2 linked regions of the Coturnix japonica genome follow. The protein of the gene in region 2 purifies or fractionates together with the protein of the main gene of each other region. This does not show direct contact. Links are inferred from orthologs where the notes say so. Each region holds a gene or a part of one and is shown on either strand. Other genes may lie near its edges. The genes, in order: ACAD11 and GTSE1.

Region 1 (3,821 bases), on a different chromosome or scaffold from region 2:
TTAATATTGGTTCACTGCATTTGTTTAGCTGCTGAAACAACTAACTTTGCATCTCTTTGTCTATGCCTATATCCTACTAAGTATCTGATTTCCCATGTTTCTAGGGTCGCATCTTTCGAGACGCCTCGCTGCCTGAAGTGGGCCCAGCAGAGCGTTCTGCTTTGTATCTCGCAATGATAGAAACTTTGGCTCAGATGCACTCGTTTGACTTGCGGTCATTGGGTCTCCAAGGATATGGCAGAGGACCAGGATACTGCAGAAGACAGGTATAGCTCTTGGAAAAATTATCTTGTTTCGTCAGGTCTTTAATGATTTCATTTGCAAGCTGATTTATTCATCTTAGATGACTTGTAAAAGTAACCGTCGTATTTTAACAATTCAGCACCTTCATTTAGTTAAGTATGAGTGCACGGTATAAAGTTACTGCCATGTTCCAAGTAGATTCTATAGCGCTGTTAAAGTGCTTGTATTTTTTCAGGTGTCAACTTGGAAAAGACAGTATGATGCAGCTGCTCATACAGATATTCCTGCCATGAACGAGCTAGCCGAGTGGTTAGCAAACAACGTGCCACTTGATGATGATGAAGAAGCCCTAATTCATGGGGACTTTAGAATAGATAACATCATTTTTCACCCAACAGAGGTATTTCAAATGCATCTGTACATTTTGTACTTTGTAGTTCTCCATTATTGCCTCTTTACAGGGGTAGATAATGGCAGGACAAGGAGAAAATGTATTAAGTTGAGGGAGGGAAGATTTAGGTTGGATATCAGGGGGAAGCTCTTTATAGAGAGAGTGGTGAGGTCCTGGAACAGGCTGCCCAGAGATGTGGTGGGTGCCCCGTCCCTGGAAGTGTTTAAGAGCAGGCTGGATGGTGCCCTGGGCAGCCTGGTCTAGTATTAGATATGGAGGTTGGTAGCCCTGTATACGGCAGGGGGTTGGAGCTTCGTGATCCTTGAGATCCCTTCCATCTCAAGCCGTTCTTTGAGTTTGTTATTTCCTTGTACGTGTTACAGAGCATTCCCAAGGAATTGTGGTTCCTCTGTGTCACTGTACTTTCAGTATAGGGTCTGTTTTTTGATGTTTGGTTATGATCAGGAGCAAAAGCACCTGTATTTTCCTTATCAGCAAAATAGTTGCAGTAATATACTTCTGCTTACTTTTCTGCTTACTTTAAAATGAAACTACTTTTGCTGTAGACAGCTACAGTGCATGTTTTTTTAACTTCAAAGCAATTAATTAAGCTCCTGGATATTAAGTCTGTTGTCCGTGTGCAGATCCTTCATTCTTAGAATTCACTTGAGTTTTTTATTCTTATTTAAGGCTCGTGTTTTGGCAGTGCTGGACTGGGAACTTTCAACCACTGGTCATCCTTTAGCAGATTTAGCATACGCTACTCAGTTCTACTTCTGGCCTACATCCCTGAACGTCTTTGGTCAAGGATCTGTCTTCAATTTCAAAGGCCCCATAGGTATGAAGTTATCATCGTTTAGTCAAACTGAATTCTATGGTTGATTTCTATTTGGTAGATTACTTTTACAAACAACAGTAAAATTAACACGTACATCATTTTGCTATTGGAAAAGAGCTTTTCTGTAGTTTTCTTCATTGTAGGAGATGTGTTGGGAGATGGGCTGATAGTTTTAAGGTAGCATCTGTGTACATTAGTACATTAATTCTACAAAAGGTTATTTGGAACGTTTCTTAGAGATAATGGGGGTAAGCTCAAATTTAAATAGGAATGGGTGATGTTCACATAAACACAAGATAAAATTGTGGTGCAATGGATTTCCTGACTGAAGTGGAACTGGGGGGAGTTTATGTGGAATTCTTGCAACACCTGTTTCCTTTCCATATCTGAGCACATGAGGAATGATATATTACATTTTTTGCTGTACTAACAAAATGACTCAAGTATTTGAAGAATGAGGTAAATCCTGGTGGAGGCTGAGCATTCTAAAATATTCTGTTGGTGTTTTTTGTTGTTGTTTTTTGTAGAAAATCCCTCATTTGAAGAACTGATTTCTGTTTACTGCCGCTGCCGGGGTATCAGCACTACAATCCCCAACCTGAATTTTTTTCTTGCTTTGTCATATTTTAAACTGGCAGGGATATCCCAGGTAATACTCACTACTTCTGAAATATCACATTTTTATTATGAGTATATGTAGGTTGGTAATATTTTTCTAATGATGAAGTACTGTTGTGTGATAATGGGAAAGGTATTTCAGTTTGTCCCTTTAGAAGCAGTGTCTTTTAGATGCTTGAGACTGTGTACTCTAGGACAGAATTCTTGCTGCTTGAAGTATGTAACATGAGATATTCAGCCATTGTAGGGCAGGAATGTATTTTGTAGCTGCAGCCTAAGGATAAGGCTACTAAAGGTGTAAACCAGCTGTTAGTAATTTCGAGTAAGACTGTATATGCATGTAGGTAATGTAGTTGTGAGTAATAATGCATTGGCTGAAGGGACAGAGTGGACTTGCATGTAGTATCCAATACAGGTACACTTCAGGGTTTTTAATGGCTCTTTTGTCTTCTGTTGGTTTGGTTTTTTGTTCTTGTCCAACTCTCTCTTACTCCTGTCATTTATATCAGAAATATACCCAAAGCAGCATCAACATATCCCAGTAAAATCCATCTGAGTTCTATTTCTTCCCCCCAGTTAAGAACATCTTAACTTACTTTTAAGTGTAAGTTCATAGTTGAAGAAACCACCAATCTGAAAGAGACATTTTTAAGTACACAGTTATACCATCTATGCCTTTCTTTTTGGTTGTAGGGTGTATATGCTCGATATCTCATTGGAAATGCTTCTGCAGAGAATAGCCATGAATTTGCTAAGATGGTGAAGCCTTTGGCAGAAAAAGGCTTAGAGCTCTCAAAAAGGTAACACCGGTTTAAAGTACTGATCAGAGGCGAGGCAAGACTTACAGCTTCACTTATTTAAATGTCTCTATAAGGCAGCTTATATCATTGTGAGAGAAAACCTGGTCTTACTTATTGCATTGGATGTTCTTTAGATTGTCTTTCAGCAACATGCAACACAATACATCTGGAGAGCTGTTCTATCAAAGTAGGAAAGGCCAAGAAATGCTGCTGAAGGTAAAGCAGTTCATGAAGCAGCATGTATATCCAGCTGAGAAGGTAAAAGTCCCCAAAGTCTTTCATTCTCATGCAGATGTGCTAATGCATTGTGCAGACATGGAGGTGCTGTGCTCCTTTTATTTAGAGAGCTCACAGACAATATTTGATCTCATACGGTAACAGGAAACGTGAGTTGGGACTTGTAAATTCTGCATTTGTTAGATGATAATTTATTCATCCTAAAGCAGGTCCTAGGGCACTTCTGAAAGAGTGCTGTACATTACTAGAACATACTGGGGAAAGTACTAGGATTTCTAATACGTAGTTTTATTTAGTAACTAAACATTGGTACGTGGAATGACTGTTTTGATAATCTGCTAAACAGCTGACAGAAAACAAGCATGCTATTTCCAATTTATTTTAAAAAAGAAAAAAAGATGAGTTTTTATATCTGAATATATGGGAAACCTAATGCTTAGGTGTCAGCACTTTGAGCTTTTATTTGTGGTTTTGATTTTGAGTTCATTCCTCTCATGTAGTACTGTTGACATTGGTCAGCAGTTGTGTTTATTGTCATTTCTCTTAGGAAATAGCAGAATACTATGCTAAACATGGAAATACTGAGGAGAGATGGAAGAAGCCACCAGTGCTTGAGAGGCTGAAGGTATGGGATGGTTAATATTATTGAGCACTACTAGCAGTAAAAGAACCAGGCACTGACCATAAGAAATGG
Region 2 (3,821 bases):
TGACAAATACATTCTGCCTAAGCTTCACACATGGTTTTTTTTTTTTAATAAGGAATTATAATCTAATCCACATCATAACGTAATTTTAGAGACAGTGGGTTGGTTTCACTCAGAGAAAAGACTATGTGGGGCATTTAGGCTAAGTAACATAACAGAAGATATTCACTAGCAATGCGTAATTCATACTTTAAGTTTTCATCTCACCAGCCCTGAATGAATCCTGTATATGCACATGTGAGAAGACGCAGGACTGTGGCATGAAGGCAGCAACATTATCCTTGCAGAAATTAGATGGGTAGGTAGGAGTAGCGTAGAATTCTCTCCCTTTGTACAAGACATTGTTTCAAATGAAAGATAAAACTTTTTGAGGTGGTTTAAGTTGCTCAGTAGCTCAACTAATTCAGGTAGCTTCCTAGGAGATTAGAGCTCTTTAATGTTAATATTGACTGATCTTAAGGCTGACTGTATTTTACTAATTGCAAGATATATACACCTACATCAGGCCTATACTGTATCTAAACGTTCAGATGTTCTACTCTAAAGGTTTGGAAAAGATCCTTGAAAATTGGAAGCCATTCTATTTCATTTAGAAGCATTTTAGCTACTACATTGATTTCATTTCTCCATTTCACTGGAGAGCAGGGGTGGGTGTTCCTCCTTACCCAGCTGGGAGAGTCTTCCTGGTAGAAAAGCTGGAACTTTGGCGAACAGATTCAATGCGTGGAGAAAATGCTGTTCTTGGTGTGGTTTTAGGAGTTGCTGCTGGAAATCCTGAGATACGACGGACAGGTGTAGGTAAGGCAGAGCGTTTCAAGCTGGAAGGAGTCATGGAGACAGGCCTCTCATGAGGAATCTGAAATATCCCGTCTTCTGAAGCTTTCAGGGGTGTGCTGACTGCCATGGCACTGAGGAGAGGTACAAAAACAAGCCAAAAGTTCTTAGAAAGTTTATTCAGTTTTATGAGATAATAGGAATCAGTTAACCTTTGGTCAGTAACTGAAAGGCGATCATCAAGAAGTCAATAGCTATAGGGTTTTACTTCAAAAATAAATGTTAAGAATAACTCTAGTTAAGCCCTACAAAGGGGGCTCCTTCTGAAGTGTTCTGGATGTAGCTCCCACCCCCACCCCAAATCAGTTCAGAAGTTATTAACACAGCCTGACCTGGAGGTTCTTAAGGGACTAGAGAAGCTTGCCTTTAAAGTTAGAGCTTTTGGAGACTGTTGCTACAAGTACCCATGTTACATTCCAAGAAGTACATTCCATTTGGTCCTACCTTCCAACTTTGCCACAAAATGTTAATCCAAGAGATGGTGTTGCTTTTGTTGATGACTTGTTCGGTGTTATATCTAAAGAGAAATGCCTTGTTAATAGTTATCCACACTCATATTTAGTTTTCAGAACTACAGATACCTTTCAATTAGAACACTTGTTTCTATCAGGTGGTAGATAGAAGCATATTGAAAGACAGCAAGCACTCAAGAAACATTTGATTTTGTAAGTTAAATCAGCAGAAGACAGGCTACATAAAGCATATACTTACCTCCAGCTTTCACTGGAACTTGAGTTTGACCTGTAGGAACTGACGGAAGTCTAGCCTTGGGCTTTGGGCACAGGTTTCCTTTAGTTGTACTTCCATCTTTATTTTGGTGACTTGGCTTCTGCAGACTGGGGAGAGACCTCAGCCTCTGAATTCCACTGCCTTCAGGCTCAGATGGCACCGTTAGTGCAGAAGCTGAAGATTTAGCCAAGTTTTGTGCACTAGGTATTTTGGGAGTACTAGCTGATCTCGTTTGCTTGCTGGATCTTTCAGTACTGACAGCCTGCATAGATGACACTCTGGTTGGTCTGGCCAGAGATAGTCTGTTTGTAGTAGATGAAGGTTTAGAGCCACTCACACCAGCTTTTGAAGTTGCATTCGATTTCCCTGAAACAGAAAGCTATGTTTCATTTCTGAATCACTGTTTACTGCTAAGTATGATTAATCAAAATAATTAACCTTGCACGGAACATCATTTTACAGCATTTAAATTAATTAGGAAACAACTTAAGTCTGAGATGAAAACCTACTCCCTAAACACTCAAGCAATGATGTCAGCTTTAGAAATCCTCCTCACCAACTATCTGAACTATAAATTAATGCAATTAAGTACAAGAATATTCTTCAAGGAATGCTAAAACAGCTTGCAATCTAAGTTACATTTTCAGCATGTTCGCCCACCAGAGTTGGGATGGTTCCCTTAAACGAGCACTGAGTGGAAAATATTTAAGTTACACCAATTAACACCACAGGCTGAACTGCACCATAAGAGCTTTTCTCGGTTGCAAGTATGGTTTTTACTTGTAGTCTGTCTATTACTTTCAATAATAGGACAAATCTTGACAGCTTATACTTCCTATTATATAAAAATTCTTACTAAGCCTTAACTTCTGATAGAAACCTTATTAATCTGCCCAGAAACAAAGTATACAATAAGAATTTGCCATAGCTTGGAATCTTGTTTTATCTAACAGACCTGTGGTATTTATATCTGCTAAGTGTTTTTAGGATGCTTTTTTTTTTTTCACTAAAGCATTCAGATCCGTGGGACAAGAATTGCGTATCTACTTTAAAACTGATTTATAGGACAAACCTTTATTAAGAGCACTTACCATTTTTTGCTATGGGAGAAATGGGTAGACTTGAGTTCAGACTTGAGCTCGCACTGGAAACTGATGATGAAGATGATGAAGTGCTTTTCCTTGCGAGACCACTGGCAACACCAGGAAGTTTCAGATGTGTTTTTTTTAAACCAGGCTGAGGCACAGAACATGGACAAAAGTGGTATTTAGTATGTTACTCTGCTATGTTTCTGCTTGGCATTACAGTCATGTATGACTGTTTGAGAAATTCCTTTTCCTTGAGTTACAGTTTAGAAAACAGTATCCCTTGGAAATGGTTAACTATATCTGGGTATCGTACAGAACTGAAATAGGAGTTCTCTGAAGTAGGCTGTTACTTTTATTCCTGTCACAAACCTGAGTATAAACTTAAAACAATCTCCTTTATCTTATTTTCACATTAGGATTATACAAGACTCTGAGAAAGATATATCTTACATCAGAAACTTTTCAAGGGTGGGCAGTGATAGAACAAGGGGGAATGGCCTTAACCTGAGACAGGGGAGGTTTGGGCTGGATATTAGGAGGAAGTTTTTCCACACAGAGGGTGCTGACACTCTGGAACAGGCTGCCCAAGGAGGCTGTGGATGCCTCACCCCTGAAGGCATTCAAGGCCAGGCTGGATGTGGCTCTGTGTAGCCTGGTCTGGTAGTTGGTGGCCCTGCATATAGTTGGGGGGAAAGGGGAGGGGTTTGAAACCCCTCATTGTGGTCCTTTTCAACCCAGGCCATTCTATAATTCTATGAATTAAATAGATACCACAACACTTTTCAGGACTGTAGGGTTATGCAGATGTGTGAGGTTGGACAGTTAGCTTCAGGTAAAACTGTTATCCTGTTTAGTTGTTAGTATGCTACTGCCACCTTCAGAAAGACAAGCTAGATGACAACCAATCCCCATGAGTGCAAACATGCCAAACCAAACACCAGGTACCACTGGCCTCTCAGTCTCCTGCTGCGTACCTCATGCCTTCTTCCTATACCACCTGCACCATTCTCAAGGAAACTACAGCAGTACACTGAAAACAAGCATAAAGTAGTACTGCAGCAGAGTTTTGCAGAGCTAAGTAGGTGCCTATAACTCCAAAACAACTTAATCTATGTTCATGCGTGTTATGGCAGCCTTCTTCCTATGGTATTTGTTTCTTACCTAGACTTGCCA

The links.
Region 1: the proteins of GTSE1 (region 2) and ACAD11 purify together in Homo sapiens (co-immunoprecipitation; 3 studies listed by BioGRID and IntAct, counting the BioPlex papers as one, with this or other methods). This does not show direct contact. The link is inferred for Coturnix japonica from reciprocal best matches to the Homo sapiens genes GTSE1 and ACAD11.

Annotation. Positions count from the first base shown.
Region 1 is NC_029517.1:38,933,365-38,937,185, reverse strand, and holds part of ACAD11 (acyl-CoA dehydrogenase family member 11), read left to right. Parts: intron 1-104; coding exon 105-266; intron 267-478; coding exon 479-643; intron 644-1,324; coding exon 1,325-1,472; intron 1,473-1,999; coding exon 2,000-2,121; intron 2,122-2,783; coding exon 2,784-2,890; intron 2,891-3,024; coding exon 3,025-3,148; intron 3,149-3,674; coding exon 3,675-3,752; intron 3,753-3,821. UniProt on the Homo sapiens protein: Acyl-CoA dehydrogenase, that exhibits maximal activity towards saturated C22-CoA.
Region 2 is NC_029516.1:14,058,925-14,062,745, reverse strand, and holds part of GTSE1 (G2 and S phase-expressed protein 1), read right to left. Parts: intron 2,797-3,821; coding exon 2,652-2,796; intron 1,927-2,651; coding exon 1,543-1,926; intron 1,349-1,542; coding exon 1,276-1,348; intron 906-1,275; coding exon 663-905; intron 1-662. UniProt on the Homo sapiens protein: May be involved in p53-induced cell cycle arrest in G2/M phase by interfering with microtubule rearrangements that are required to enter mitosis. Overexpression delays G2/M phase progression.